3 linked regions of the Kluyveromyces lactis genome follow. The protein of the gene in region 2 purifies or fractionates together with the protein of the main gene of each other region. This does not show direct contact. Links are inferred from orthologs where the notes say so. Each region holds a gene or a part of one and is shown on either strand. Other genes may lie near its edges.

Region 1 (4,266 bases), on a different chromosome or scaffold from region 2:
CGTTAATATCTTACTTCGAATCGACCTTAATCTTCTTGTCTTTCAAGAACATATCATTCTTTAAATCAACTTTCTAAATGCTACTTAATCAATAATTGTCATGATCACTGGATTGCATAATCCTTATTTCGCTACTCAAGCTACTAAATAATCATTAAATAATACGTAAAGCACAATAGACACTTGGTATTCCTTGGAAAATGTAGGTGTGTTGAAAAATCTCAAACTCTGACTACACACTGGGTGTTTGGAATGATCCTATATTTATTATTATCCAAATAATGGCGGTATTCATATTATGGTACAACGAAGAGATGTGTGACTGAAAAGGGTATCCTATTAAGGACAAGCTTTCATCTATTTGTTTATTTGTTTCTATTACAATAAAGCCATAAAGTTTTGTTCAGATTTTTTTTCATAGAAGGGAACTTATGGGGAACTTATGGCACTGATACTATTAACGTTAACTCCTTGATGAATGACTATACTTTATCTTACAATAAACTAACATAGGAATTAATTTCTCATGTAATCTCTTAGGTAGTTTCCTAGCTTTTGCGCTCCTTGTTCAACAGCGTTCTTCAACAGGTCAAATTCGTCATCAGCACCAGACGTGAACTCCATGAAGTTTCGTCCGCCAAGAGAACCGCTTCTGTTTGTTCTTGTTCCATTTTGTGGATTCAATGGTCTTCCAAATTCGTCGAACTGATCTTCGCTCTGGCCTTCGCCAAAGTATGAGGCTGAAGAAATAGATGTGGCATTACTGAAGTTCTGTCTGAGTTTTTCTTGAGCTTCTTTACTTGCCTCGTCATCGTAGCTTCCACGAGAAAACACCTGGTCTGAAGAGATACCCTTTTGTTCTCCGAATTTTTGGGCAATCTTACCTGTGTACTTTGGACCAGAGGCAGCCCTCCTTGATTCGTTAGTTTTGTTTTGTTCCTTTTCTGCATTATTGGAAGTCATACCAAACCCAAGTTTAGCCAACTTTGGTTTTGCCGCATCTTTGCTTCCAGTTAATCCTACATTGGAAGCATTGATTTGATCGAAAGTAATACCATCATTGTATCTGTTGGACCATTCGTCGTCCTCCGCGTCTTCGACATTGGTAGATGGCTTGGTTATTTTGCTGCTAGAGCTGAAACCAGATTTTTGTTGGAATGGCGCAGGAGTGGCATCGTATATGGAATTCGATAAATTATTGGAGTTAAGGGAAGTGGTGGCGAGACTTGAGGCCAATTCTTCCTCTTCCTTGGCTTCTTTTTCGAATTGATCAAACAAATCAGCATCCACCTTCTTGGCTGCAACCGGTTTCTTTGACTTACGAGAGGAGGAAAGGATGGAATGTTTCTTTGCTTGAGAAGAGCCTGCTGATCCTGTCAAAGTAGTTCTCTTAGTTGTAGTGGATCTAGCACCGTTGCTGGTTTTGTTGGCAGAACCACTTCCGGACAGAATAGAAGAACCATTCCTATTGCCAGTATTGGTTGGTGTTAAATTTCTAGGAGATGACGTCAAAGATATGTTACTTTGGTTTACAGGCTTTTCCCAGTTTGAGAAGAAATCATCAACGCTGTTGCTCTTTGAAGAACCAGAACTGCCCCCTGTGAATTCTTGTTCATCTTCTGCTGAAAATACAATTTCACCTGGATGTTGTTCAGCGTCTCTAGCCACTTTTTGATTCAAATGGCTCTGCCATTTCTTGGCTACCTGGCTTGTATATTTAGCCATCCGGTTGCTAGAAGAACCCAAATATTGTTTGCCGTTGTTCTTTAAGAAAAAATCCTTTGCCTTATCGTTACCACCAAGTTTGAACCTTCTCAAATTGTTGACAGTCCATTTGTCCAAATTACTTGACTTCACAAAAGTAATATGGGTACCCATATTTCTGTGCTCACCGGAACAATCGATGCAAAGAAGAACACCGAACGGAACTGAAGTCCAGGTAGGATTTTTGGCGCCACAGTCGAAGCATGCCCTGTTTTCAGACTTGGTTGTCAGTCTAGCAAACACTTTAGTCACGACTTCCTTGTCACAGTACACTTCTCCCGATTCGTCAATGCTAGCCATGGTTTAATTAAAATAAATCCTCTTGTAATGATAATGAAATGCTGAAATTCCGGAAAAAAAAACACCCTTGTGTTAAGTTAATAAGTTGATGCTAAGATACGGCAATAAAGATTCACGTTCCTGTAGCAGATTATCCTGGTAAATTCAGATCGTATCTCAAAAGCTAGATCAATCGCAAGAAAAAACTCTTAAGTATCAATTTTAGAAAACAGAGTACTTAATAACACGCTTTCTTACCACCTTAATAATAACTTGCGAAAAATACTTCTGTAAGTTCGGCGTGTCCCTCCCGCGCTCAAAGTGTGTACAGTAGTCTGTTGCACCTGTTATGATGTTACCAGCAGTGTAAAAAACTTAACTAAGACCAAAAACTACGTTCCTTAACGGTCCAAAATTTGAATAACCGTTCTGTCCTGTGTTAAAACCTTTTCTGTTTAGAAATTCGATCTTTCAATTTAAAGATGTCAAAGAAAATAGCAGATATGAATAGTCTGTATTATTATTACCCGGACCAAACAATACAATAGTGGGAATGGGATGATGAATTAACTGGTATTCATCATGTCCGAGCACCAGTACAATGCTAGCATATGGTATACTTAATATTGAATGTTGTAGTATGTGAACTAAATATAATATTATTGGCATATATAACGGAGACCTTAAGGTGGTATTAGATCAGAATATGTTAATCCATGAAACGTATTTAAACCATTTAGGTTCCACCAAAATACACGTTGCAGTAGCGTAGACGGTCGGTTTAGGGTTGTATATCCAATTGGGTACGCTCTTAGCCACTAAGGACTTTACGGATCCCAGTTTCGTAGAAGGATCAAGAGGTGGTGATTCCAACGTTCCTGTAATGATACATTTTCTTCCCTTGGTTTCAATGACCTGGGCGTTGAGCACAATGGTGGAATTAACTGGAACATCCTTCTGGAACGATATGTCTAGAGATGCAGTGACTCCACGCTTACTGGGAAGTGTAGGGAACCCGCAGAAACACAAAGCCTCGTCTAATAGCAATGAAAGTACACCTTTATGCACTGCATTCTTTTCGTTGCCTAAATTGTGGCCCAAATGATATATGACGTGGATCTTGTTCTGTGCATTATCTGTAAACACCACCGGATCAATTTCAAGCTTAGTTGGTCCGTAAAGCAACCCTTGACCTACGTGATAATCTCTATGAGGTACAGGGATCTTCTCCGATTGACGATGCATCATATAATCAGACGACTCTTTAAGTTTCTTGACCCATTCTGTGGCCCTAAGTTTATCCAATACATCGGTCCGTTGGTCCTGTAGCGGTCTATGTAACGTTTGTAGTGCTGATTCATCCAAATGCCATGGCTTAACGAAATATCCGAAGCCCAATGTGAACCCCGTTAAGGGTAAAATAACGTACCTGGAAATCTTCCCGCTCATAATTCGACCACTGAAAACAAAACTCTCAAACTTGGAAAACTTGCTTCGGGATATTCTCTCAAACACGCCAGGTATAATCAGTTACTTCTGGAGCAATGCTTGATGCTAACCATTTAAACCTTTCGGATAGTTCCTACCCTACCCTACCCTAAACCATTCCAGACTTTGATAATTATTGTTTTTAGACCTAGGTGGAGCGGAGTAGAGAGAGGTGAGGTGGACAAAAAAAACAACACGCACCAGAGTGTTTCTAACCACGTGATCTATCATTCCCAGTACACCGGGTAAATATCCATTAATTCGTCATCCCGCATTTCTTTTCCGGTTTTCCACTTTTCCTGTGGGGAAAATAATATTGTCCTCCCCCCACATGAATTGTTTGAAAAGCGGCGTGAATGAAAATTGCAATTGCCTAGCCCAAATCCATATCCAGTATCTGATCCGTATCCTCACTACATTCGAATTCGAGTTTTCCGCCAAAAATTCATCCCAACAGTACTAGAGATACCTCTAGTTCTGAACAATGTTTTCTAATTTCTTGATCATCTTTTTTTTCCATCTTTTTTTTTTTTTTTTCTCGTTTTTTCTTCGGAACATATTATTTTTTGCTACAAGTATACAAGTTACATACAAAACTGGCTGGGAGTGCTTTGAAAATAAATTGCTACTGGAAATAAACAAAAATATATGCTGCGGGGAAATTTGAGGCAAGGGTATTTTCCTTTTGGTTCCAATTATTCCAGCCATGGAAAAATGATATATATCATCGAGGAC
Region 2 (5,855 bases):
AGGGTCAACAAAACACCGAATCAAGCACAGATAATCTTAACGATGAAAAACTCGAGGCAGCAGAGGAAGCTAATATTAGTAGGAAACATTCATTCAAGGATAAGATATTGCGTAAAATGTCATTGAGGAGAAATAAATCCACTTCGTCCAGGTTAACCGCTGGTAATAGACAAGCTACCGTCACTGCTTCGCATCTTTCCGGTGACTCTAGCTCAGAATCAGAAACGCCAATCGTTAAAACTATTAAAGGGACTCACACAAGAGCAGTGTCTGAGGCAGAAAACGGACTAATAGATAACAGTAGTGATTTTGATTTTGTTACTGACACACAACTCGATACTCCAACAGCTTCACCCCATCGTAAAACTTCGATAAGTGATAGCATAAATTTCAATAGTACTACGGATATGAATGCTACATCCTCAACAGATATTTTCCAACATAACAATAACTCCTACTACAAGTTGTAAATATGAGTGCCGTTTCGTTTCTAAACTCGTATATTATATAAACTTTTCATCGTATTAAACAAATGTATTATCGATTTTTGACTACGGGTGCACATATTCAAACAATTCATCTGAGACGTGCATATTATCCCAATAGTTAAGGAAAACTGAGCATTTTTCTAGTACTCGTGTTAGGTTTGCTGCCATTATTTTATCCGTAATACTTAAAGTTTTCCATAACTTAGTTGTGGCCACTTTATTCAATGTCCTCCAAGGTAAAGATAGTTTGTCCTGTTCTATGGTTGAAAGCTGAAGCAAAGGCGAAATAATATCTTTCAATTTTTCTGTTGCCAACGTGAGTTTGAAATTATCTTCTTTATCATAATGATATCTTTCTGAAACTTCAATCTCTTGAAACCAGGACAACTCTTTTGAGGATTTCCTTCTTGAATACCAATCGATGAGAAGTTCTTTTGTGGAAAGTTTGCTCTTGAAGTCAGGTATCTGGGACATACTTGTATTCATGTAATATGAGCTCAAACTAAAGTTAGTCGGAGCCATAGACAAATTCGGGGTCTGTAAGTATGGAACATATGTCTTTGTTTTTCGCTTTGACAGGAGAGTGATGAATGGGATTAATTTCTTAGCCATAACTTCTGACCAGGAATCAGAATAAGTCGATGCATACAATGGCTGAATTGGTATCGAATTAGATAAAGAACAAAATTCCATTGCATTTGATGTACTTATTCCATCACTCTGTAAAGATTGAAATATCGTTTGTTTGGCATCCATATCCACATCACAATAAAACAAACCGCCAACCCAAGTGTAGGGTATAAAAACATCAAATGGACGGATCGCATACTTCTTTCTTCTGGCCATTTTTAAACAATGAAAGTTCTTCAAACTATTATTGGGATTTTCCTGTTCTTTAGATTCAAAAAAACACCACGGTTGGTTCCAATCCTTTACATCATTAGTAAGTTGCTTCTCAGTTTCAAAGACAACTTTACCCTCGTTACAATAAGTTATCTTCAAAGCTTTCCCTGATCTTTTATATAGCTGGTGAAAATAAAATACCCTGTGTACTTTAAATCCAGTGAAGAGCTTTGTATCTCCAGGCAAAGAATCTACTGGAATCGTTGCCCCACTCCATATCTCAAACGTTTTCTTCATATTCATGTTGGCAGAGTTGAAACCTACCGCACAAGCTTTATCAATTGTATGAACAGGGTATAGTGCTTTCCCGTAAGCAAAATCAAAAAATAGAGCAGAACAAAAGAGAATCAACAACCATAGTTGACCTTTACTCATTCTATAACAAACCACACAACTGCTGTAGCTTCTAATAAAATGAGACTATCAAGACAAATAGCAGTTGTTCTGCTGAATAGCCTAAATCGCGCCCTTTGTCGAACAAATATAATAATTAGTAATATTCTTCAACTTTAGCTTTGAATACAAAATGGAGAAGATTGATGTAATATTAGGGGAAATAAGTCATATAGCTCGTAGTACTCTCGAGCCGAAACGGTTCAAGTTGATGCTTTATTTATGTGACACTGACACTGACATCAATATCATAATAACATTACCCGGTCCTATGCCATGTCCATCAACGGCTTTGAAAAAAAAATGTTTGAAAGGGGAATTTGAATAATAAAGATCCATTCATGATTTTAACACGTTAGTTGAAGAAAACATCGAAGGTAGAGACCCAACAGAGCGGAAGGAAATTAGCAATGAAACTTGACATCAATGTATGTGACACATTGTGTACTAGAGTAATTTGTGAGGTGCTTTTATCACGGAGAATCGCTGTTGAACGTTAGCAATTGCATATTAAGTATCTTAGGCGTTTTTCTGGTATCAATACATTTATGTTTTATGTTTTGATTCAACAGATTATATTTCTTCAGCCCTTATCAGCAACTAAAAGAAAGAGCTTTTACTAACATTTTTTTCATCTATGGTGACTTTATTTGTCTTTAGAAAAAGCTCAGTGCCAGAACTGACAGGGTTAAGGGCATTGACTTTCATCCTGAGGAACCTTGGGTTTTAATTACCTTGTACTCAGGAAGAATTGAGATATGGAACTACGAGACGCAAACGCAAGTGAGATCTATTCCATTATGTGATGCTCCAGTGAGAGCTGGTAGATTCATTGCAAGAAAGAACTGGGTTGTTGTTGGTTCCGATGACTTTAAATTAAGAGTTTATAATTATAACACCGGTGAAAAAGTGACCGAATTCGAAGCACATCCTGATTATATCCGTTCCATTGCTGTGCATCCAACGAAGCCATTCGTTCTGACAGGTTCTGATGATCTGACTATTAAGTTATGGAACTGGGAAAAGAATTGGGGCTGCCAACAAACCTTTACCGGTCATGAGCACTTCGTCATGTCTGTTGCATTCAACCCAAAGGACCCCAACCAATTTGCCTCCGGTTGTTTGGATCACACTATCAAAGTTTGGTCGATTGGTCAAGATGTTCCAAATTTCACCTTGAAAGCACATGAAACTAAAGGTGTGAATTATGTCGACTATTACCCGTTACAAGATAAGCCTTATTTGATTACCACTTCCGATGACGGTACCATCAAGGTGTGGGATTACCAGACAAAATCTAATGTTGCTACTTTAGAGGGACATATGGCTAACGTGTCATATGCTGTATTCCATCCGACTTTACCTATCATTATCTCAGGTTCCGAGGATGGAACTCTCAAGATTTGGAATGCAAATACATACAAACTAGAGAAAACGTTGAACATCGGGCTTGAAAGAAGTTGGTGTATCGCTACTCATCCATCTGGTAAACGTAATTACATTGCATCGGGTTTCGACAATGGTTTCACAGTTCTATCCCTAGGTGATGATCAACCAAAATTATCTTTGGATCCAGTTGGTAAGTTAGTTTATTGCGGTGGTAAAGCATCAGCCACTGACGTCTTCTCTGCCATCATTAGAGGTAATGAAGAGGTAGAAGAAGGCGGTGCCCTTCCTTTGCAAAGCAAAGAATTAGGGTCGATCGACGTTTTCCCACAAAGTTTGAAGCATTCCCCAAATGGTAGATTTGTCACTGTTGTTGGTGATGACGAATTCATTGTGTACACTGCTTTAGCATGGAGAAACAAAGCTTTCGGCAAATGCCATGACTTTGCATGGGGCCCAGATTCTAATAGTTATGCGTTAATCACGGAAACGGGTGCAGTGACCTACTACAAGAACTTCAAACAAGTATCTTCTTGGTCAATTCCGCTTGATTACGGTGTCGAAAAAATCTTCCCTGGTTCAGTATTAGGTGTCAAAGCTGACGGCTTCGTATATTTCTTTGATTGGGAATCAGGTAATCTAGTGAAAAGAATTGATGTCGATGCTAAGGATATAATCTGGTCAGATAATGGAGAGCTTGTTATGATCATCAACAAAGACCATGAAACAGACTCTGCTGAAGAAGCTAATGCTTACGCTCTGTTGTTCAATAAGGATGTTTACGATGAGGCGGTTTCAGCTGGAAGTATTGATGAAGATGGTGTAGAAGATGCGTTTGACGTATTATACGAAGTTTCAGAGGGTATCACGTCAGGTAAGTGGGTTGGTGATGTCTTCATTTTCACCACCCCAACAAATAGATTAAACTACTTTGTTGGTGGTAAAATCTATAATCTTGCACATTTCGATAAGCAGATGTACTTATTAGGTTATTTGCCAAGAGATGATAAAGTTTATTTGGCTGACAAAGATATCCATGTTTATGGTTATGAACTATCTATTGATGTTTTGGAATTCGAGACATTGGTACTCAGAGGCGAACTAGCTGAGGCCAAATCATCCGTACTACCTAATGTTCAAGGAAAAGAAAACTTGCTAAAGATCTCTAGATTTTTGGAGGGACAAGATTTGTTTGAAGATGCCTTAGAAATTTCACCAGACGCTGAGCAGAAGTTTGATCTAGCTATTAAATTAGGCCGACTATCACTGGCGCAAGAAATATTGTCCGAGCAGGAAAGTGAGAACAGATGGATTCAATTGGGTGATGCTGCCTTAAAGAAATTCAATTTCACTTTAGCTTTGCAATGTTATGAAAAGGCAAATGATCTAGAATCCCTTTTCTTGTTATATTCTTCATTCAACAATAGGGAAGAGTTGGTTTCATTGGCAAAGAATGCTGAGACTTCTGGTAAGTTCAACCTAGCTTTCAATGCTTATTGGGTAGCAGGTGACATAGCTGGAGCAAAGGACTTGCTATTAAAATCTAATAGGGTGCCAGAAGCTGCCCTATTAAGTTTAACATACGGGGAATCGGCAGAATCCATCAACACTGTAGTAGACGTATGGAAGCAAACTTTGATCAATGACGGTAAAGCCGCAATTGCTGAAAGAGTTGGAGTTGTCGGTAAGACAGAAGGTTTTCCATCAACGAATACACATACCTTACTTGATTTAGATACACCAAGCGAGAGCATAAAAGAAGCGGCTCCTGTAAACCATAAGTCAGAGGAGGATGTCGCAGTTGAAGAAAAAGCGTTGGATACCGAGGAAAATAAGGATGAAGATGAAGATGAAGAAGCATTCAAGGATTCATCTGAAGAGCCTCAAGGTTCAAAAGACGATGATAAACCCGCTGCAAAGGCGGAATAACTGTACGTTCCCCAACTCCTAAAAGAAAAAATGAACTACGATAAATTCATAATCCGTAAATAATGTATTAATATGCTAGTATATTAACATGAACTAAACGATTACAATCCGTGAGTCTTGAAGATTCTATCAAACTGTTTAAAATATTTACAAGTACAATTATTCCTCTAAAAACACCTTCAATTTATCTATATCAGTTTTCTTCCCGCGAGCCACGAAATACAGTTCTTTTGATTCATTTCTCGATGCATTGGGTTTGAATCTGTCGACTTTTTTGAATACCTTTTTAAGTCTCTTTTCAAGAAGGGTATCTTCGCTTCCAGCATATAATTTACAAGTGAATGAACCTCCCGGTTTTAATAGGTCGATTGCTACAATTAATGCAGCATCACATAAGTCCATCGACATATAATGATCTTTACTTTGTATGCCTGTCGTGTTTGCCATCATATCGCTAAGCACAACATCGACCGGGTATCGTTCGATGTTCTGACTGATATCTGTCTGTGAGAATAGCTCCTTATACTCCTCTGTTTCCTTCAAATGGTTTAACTCTTCCTCTAGCATGTGCTGGAGATACCCATGATCCTTATGTAATTGATCATGCTTGTTTAGCTGGATATGACGAGCAAAGCAAAGTCTGATCAATTCATGAGTCTTTTTCGATAGGATGTTAGCCTGTAACGAATACACTCCCTTTGGCGGAGTACAACGTAACAAATCAACCCCCATGATCATTCCACCTGAACCGATCCT
Region 3 (5,216 bases), on a different chromosome or scaffold from region 2:
ATTTCACCAACAATTTCTTGTGTGATTGGATCCTTCTCTATGCACAGGTTAGCCAAAGCGTCCTCGCCAAATGTAGATCTAGAATATAAGTTACAACTTAGGAATCTGGAATCATTGTCGCCGAGTGCCTCTTCAGGGGTTAGAACCTTCATATGTGTAACTTCCACCAACTTCTCTAAATAACCGCGTAAAGATGGTAATTTGGATTTGATACGAAGTTTATTTTCCCATTCAAACGCATTCCACATCTTACGGAAACTGTTATCATCGCAGATTGCTGGTTTCACATAATCCATTGTGTCGATATGAACGTCATTCAAGATGACATAACGAGAATCTTGACCGTGACCACCATCATATATAATGTTACCGAAAATAACACCAGTATCTGCTGAGGACACCTTTGCTGTTATCGTAATTTTGTGGAACCCATGTGGAATAACGTTGGTGCTAGGTGGGTGGTCAATAATTTTTAAGTCACCAAGAGTAGCGAATTGAACATGTAGGTTTTTCAAAGTATCCTTGGTTTGGTTCACTAATAGAACATCTAACACAACATCGAATTGGTGATTAGTGATATAACACTCGGCATAAACAGGATCGCTGAAACCAGTCAATGGGACGATCTTCTTCAATTTTGAAGTGATAGAATTAGCTTGTAGTTTGGAATATGATACAGTACCGGTGGTAGCCAATTTTATATCTTCTTCGATTGAATCGACGGGGGTATTGTGCAAGCCTGCATTCTTAAATTGTCTGAAAACGATGGATTTATCGATGGCCTCGGCGTGCTTGGCTAGGTAGTTTGATCTCTTGGCAGCATTCTTCTTCAAAGTAACATTGACTCTTGATTTGTATGATTCGTTGGTAGCTTCCAAGAATGCCAAACTCAAAAGTTCTTTCTCTGCTTGACTTTCTTCGGTAGAAATCTCGTCCATCAATACCGAAATTGCCGTCATTAGTCTTTCAGCAGAGTCCTCGTCAATCTTCTTTTCTACTAAGTTACTTTGACCTAATCTGATGATACTAACCAAAATCAACAACCCTTCGGCCTTTAGGGCGTTAGTTACAGAAGTGTTCTTGGAAATCTTTTCGAATTTCAACACCAATTTAACGATAGAGTTAGCCAACACAGAGGCAGTAAAGAAATCTCCATTTAGGACGAAACGACGTAAAGGAGGTCTTGCTTCTTTTTCCTCGTTTGAGGTGGATTTGACCTTTTCTGAGACAGATAGAGCAGATTCGGTTGCATAAGTACCATCTGGCAAAACTACCGGCCCTGTGGATACTATTGGGGCCTTTTCAGTATCGTCTTCGTCATCATTTTGAACTCTTCTCAGTTCAGATTGAACAATTGGAACTTCACCTATACTTGAACGGATGTGCTTCCAGGTATTCTGGATTTCTGCTTCGGATTGGGCATGCTCACCTAGTACCCAAAGAGCACCACGGTAAGCCTTTGCTGACTTTACTTCATGCAATGTCTCAATCAAAGTAGTTAAAATCTCAGATCTTAACTCAGGATACCTTTCAATGACCTGTTTTGTAAAGGAAATGACATCATTGGCACTTTCAGACGACAAGTTACCGATAAAATCTAGAAGCAATGAGACAACATTGGAGGAGACTTCAATAAATCTTATTGCCACTTTGTTAATGGATTTGATCAATAATTGCCTGTACTCCAGAGTTTTATCGTTACTGCTATCAGCAGTAGATTGTAATTCTTTCCTCAATAACTTAACTACACTGTCTACGTTTCTGGACGTAATCAATTCTAAGGAGATATCCAAAGCCTTAGCACGGACATCCAAATCTTGTGCGTTCAAAACACGTAGAATATCCAATGTTAGATCCTCTAAAGAGCCTGGATTCTTCTCGTTTATTTCGTTGATTTTTTCTAAAACAACCAACTTGATGTTGTTATCAGATTCTTTTGTGGCCAAATCAATTAGCTTGTTAGCTACGGTCAATAAAATAGCTTCTTTATTGGTTAGAACAGTTAAAGTAATGGCAGCTTCGTACATGACATCCGTAGAACGAGTAGAAACTAAAAGATCTTGCAACAATTCAACATACTGAGAGACCAATCCTGGAGTTTTGATAGCATCCTTTCTAATGAAACTAATGAAGGCGTTTTGTAGCAAAGCATCCAAATTTTCAATCGAAGTTAGGTTGTCCTGTAGGTAGTTCAACGCAGCTTCACGGTCCAATTCTGCAAGACCTAGGAAAGCATTTCTCTTACAAATTGGATCAGTTTCTGCAACCAAAAAGGAATCAATCACTTCACAAGCATCAGGAATCAAATGGTCGCTGACTTTGTAAATGGAAAGAACTGCTAAGATTGCATACTTACGAACGTATGCGTGTCTGTATTCCAAACAAGCACGGACAGAAGGAACCATTTGCTCTAAAAGTTCTGCTTCTTTCAATTTCGTCAAGAATCTTAAGGTATTGCCCCTGATGTATTCGTTTGGATGTTGCAAATCATGTTGGATAGCGTTGCAGACAAGAATCATTTCTTGCTTCAATTTACCTTCACGATCTAATTTTGGAACAATTTCCCAGTAAAAGTATAAAAGCTTCTTCAATTGCTTGTTCTTTGAAGGCATCACAAATCTGATGATGTGCATCAACAAATCTGGTAATGGATTACCATCTAACATGGTCACCAAGATCCTCTTCATGGTCGCGATCTTTTCAGTATCAGACCCCTTTTCCAATGCCTTTTGGAAGTCTGATACGGTATATGTGACCCCATTTGGATTGGGGTCGTACACTAACGTATACGCAGGTTGTTCGACGCCGACTGTCATACCTCAATTGACCTGTGTGTCTTGTGTAGCTTCTTTTAACTTCCTGGTTCTCGCATATGTTATTTCATAACAGAACTGTTCCAAAACAGCATGTTCTTTATTTCAGAATCTCATTTTCGTCCTGAAAATCAACATAAAACAAAGTACGGGTAACAATGAATTTGACCGGGTATTAGAAACGTTAATATATACATTGGTACAAGATACGTATAGATCAAGATATAGATGCAGCAGTAATATTGTTTGAATGATAGTTTATTCTGAATCTGGGTTGGTTATATGCAATCCTGTTCCAGCGGTACCGCGGTAGTAACCGAAATCTGCTACGTCAAGCTCGTAATCATCGTCAGCATTCGAAATGCTAGATTTATGAGATTTGGGATTAGTGTCACCTTTTTCATGTACTGCAGGAGTACATGGCTTTTGAGATTCTTCAATCAGGTTATATTTCCGTAGATCTAGTGGTAGCTGTGGACTGTACGTTACGTCTAGAGTACCGCTTCTCATTCTACCAGCATTTCTCGTGAAATAGCTGGATACAGTATCTGATCTTTTCAAGCGCGTTTGGGAAACTTCGTCATGAATTCTTTGTTTTGGGTTCTCACGCAACGGTGCCATTAAATCATCGCTATCGTATGCCTCATCACCAGGAATATCATCAAGAATATCTTGGTCTGCCTCGGAAATTTTTTCATCCTTGTTGAACAAAGTATGAAATTCCTTAGTATGATCAACTTTTGTGGACTCGGTATTGAATTTGAGGCCTGTAGTACTGTTATTTTCCTCTTCTTCTTCCTCTTCTTTTGTAGTTTCAAGTGATAATAGCTTCTGTTTGGCCTTGCCGTGCTTTATACCGACTTGTCTAGTACTTGTTCGTATTGTAACTTTGATATTTTGTGGTTGTTCAAGAGTATTCTTGTTCTTCAAAGCATAAGGTAGATCTGGAGGCAACTGTAAGGAATTTGACGTGGGGAAGTACAAGAGCCGTAGCTCTTCTATGTAGCTTGAGATGAGTCGAACATTTTTATCTGGAATCGATCCCTTGGTCAAACTTTTCTTGAATTCTGATGACGGAGTCGTGTTGATGGTGTCGTTATCAATGGACTTTGCTTCCAGTGCTGAAGATTGACGAGATTCAGTATTACTTAATAACGAAGATGCTGCACCTTTTTTAGATGAAGATAAAGAACTGCGTCTTGCCAGCGATGCGGTTATGGAATTGGTATCTGTATTCATGTAAGAATTATCATCTTCACTCGTGCTGTCATTGAAATAAAAGTTTGGTTTTTCTTCGTTAACTACTCTGAAATTCCTTCTTTCGTACTCTGATCCACCTATCATTTGATATAAATCATCTTCATCTGTACTTCCATGCTCTTGTTCTGGCTCTGGCATTTGATCATAACCCGCTTCGTATTCGTGCAGATCCGCATAATTTTCTTCGGATTCAGAGCCAGAGGTTTGGTCGGCGTTTGTAACGACAAATCGCGAGGATGTTGGAATGCCTCCTACATCACTTAAAGATGAGGCGGCAGTGCTTTGTTGGAGATCGGTAATCGCATTCTTTTTGTTAATGGACTCGTTGAAGGAAAACATTTCATCCATGGACGGTTCACCATCAGAATAGTTAACATCGGATTCACTGATATCTTCGGTGGCTTCAGATCTCCCATACAAAGGTGTTATATTCTTGGCGCTCTCAGCATCACTAACAGTATCAACTTTTGTGTCTAGTTGTCTAAGAGGTATTTCCCCTCCATCCGAGTAACCAGGAGTATTCTCAACGTCAGCGCTGGATTGGTTGATAAAATCATCCAAATGATCCACCAGTTGTTCAACCTCTGATCTTTGACGCTGATGGCCGGGCTGAAAGTTCTGTTCATCCATTTGTTGTTCCAGGTCTCTTACTTGCGGAGTTGTGAATGACTGCTGCGGTGATTTACCAGATTTTACTTCCGCAGGTGATGTAGAGGATATCGTTCCGGTTTCCATACCAGTAGATGTAACAGTGGAAACAGATGGTTCTGATTTTAGAGGTCTCCTAAAATTACTTATATCTACCGGTGGAGGCGGCCTACGTCTTCCAATGGTAGCCTGACGTATTGGTATGTTTTGTTGCAGCCTCTCCGCTTGAGGGCCTTTATTATTATCATTGGTTTTCAATTCTGATAGCGGTTCGACCTCATCTTTCAGCATTTGGGTATTATTCAGAGGCTGCTTGTGTAAGGGCTTGTGTTGCGGCAAAGCTTTAGCGCTAGAGGAGTTACGGCTATTGCTAGTTTCTTGGGATTTATTCCTTTGATCCTGGTTGGAGCCTCCGAAGAATAAAAAGGATTTCCTTTTACTTCTTTCAAACATGGTGAACTGCCACAATGCCAGCGTATAATGGGCTTACTGAAA

Evidence for each region.
Region 1: the proteins of SEC27 (region 2) and GLO3 purify together in Saccharomyces cerevisiae (affinity purification with mass spectrometry; 4 studies listed by BioGRID, with this or other methods). This does not show direct contact. The link is inferred for Kluyveromyces lactis from reciprocal best matches to the Saccharomyces cerevisiae genes SEC27 and GLO3.
Region 3: the proteins of SEC27 (region 2) and SEC26 purify together in Saccharomyces cerevisiae (affinity purification with mass spectrometry; 6 studies listed by BioGRID). This does not show direct contact. The link is inferred for Kluyveromyces lactis from reciprocal best matches to the Saccharomyces cerevisiae genes SEC27 and SEC26.

What each region holds. Positions count from the first base shown.
Region 1 is NC_006041.1:615,929-620,194, reverse strand, and holds GLO3 (ADP-ribosylation factor GTPase-activating protein), read right to left. Parts: upstream 2,065-4,266; coding exon 517-2,064; downstream 1-516. Other genes in the region: MRX3 (Mrx3p), read right to left, coding at 2,743-3,492. UniProt on the Saccharomyces cerevisiae protein: GTPase-activating protein for the ADP ribosylation factor (ARF) family. Involved in retrograde vesicular transport from the Golgi to the endoplasmic reticulum.
Region 2 is NC_006038.1:168,452-174,306, forward strand, and holds SEC27 (coatomer subunit beta'), read left to right. Parts: upstream 1-2,194; coding exon 2,195-2,212; intron 2,213-2,444; coding exon 2,445-5,099; downstream 5,100-5,855. Other genes in the region: KLLA0_B01914g (transient receptor potential ion channel family protein), read left to right, coding at 1-470; KLLA0_B01936g (uncharacterized protein), read right to left, coding at 552-1,766; MRM2 (21S rRNA (uridine2791-2'-O) methyltransferase), read right to left, coding at 5,259-5,855. UniProt on the Saccharomyces cerevisiae protein: The coatomer is a cytosolic protein complex that binds to dilysine motifs and reversibly associates with Golgi non-clathrin-coated vesicles, which further mediate biosynthetic protein transport from the ER, via the Golgi up to the trans Golgi network.
Region 3 is NC_006039.1:1,329,112-1,334,327, forward strand, and holds the start of SEC26 (coatomer subunit beta), read right to left. Parts: upstream 2,817-5,216; coding exon 1-2,816. Other genes in the region: KLLA0_C15301g (uncharacterized protein), read right to left, coding at 3,072-5,174. UniProt on the Saccharomyces cerevisiae protein: The coatomer is a cytosolic protein complex that binds to dilysine motifs and reversibly associates with Golgi non-clathrin-coated vesicles, which further mediate biosynthetic protein transport from the ER, via the Golgi up to the trans Golgi network.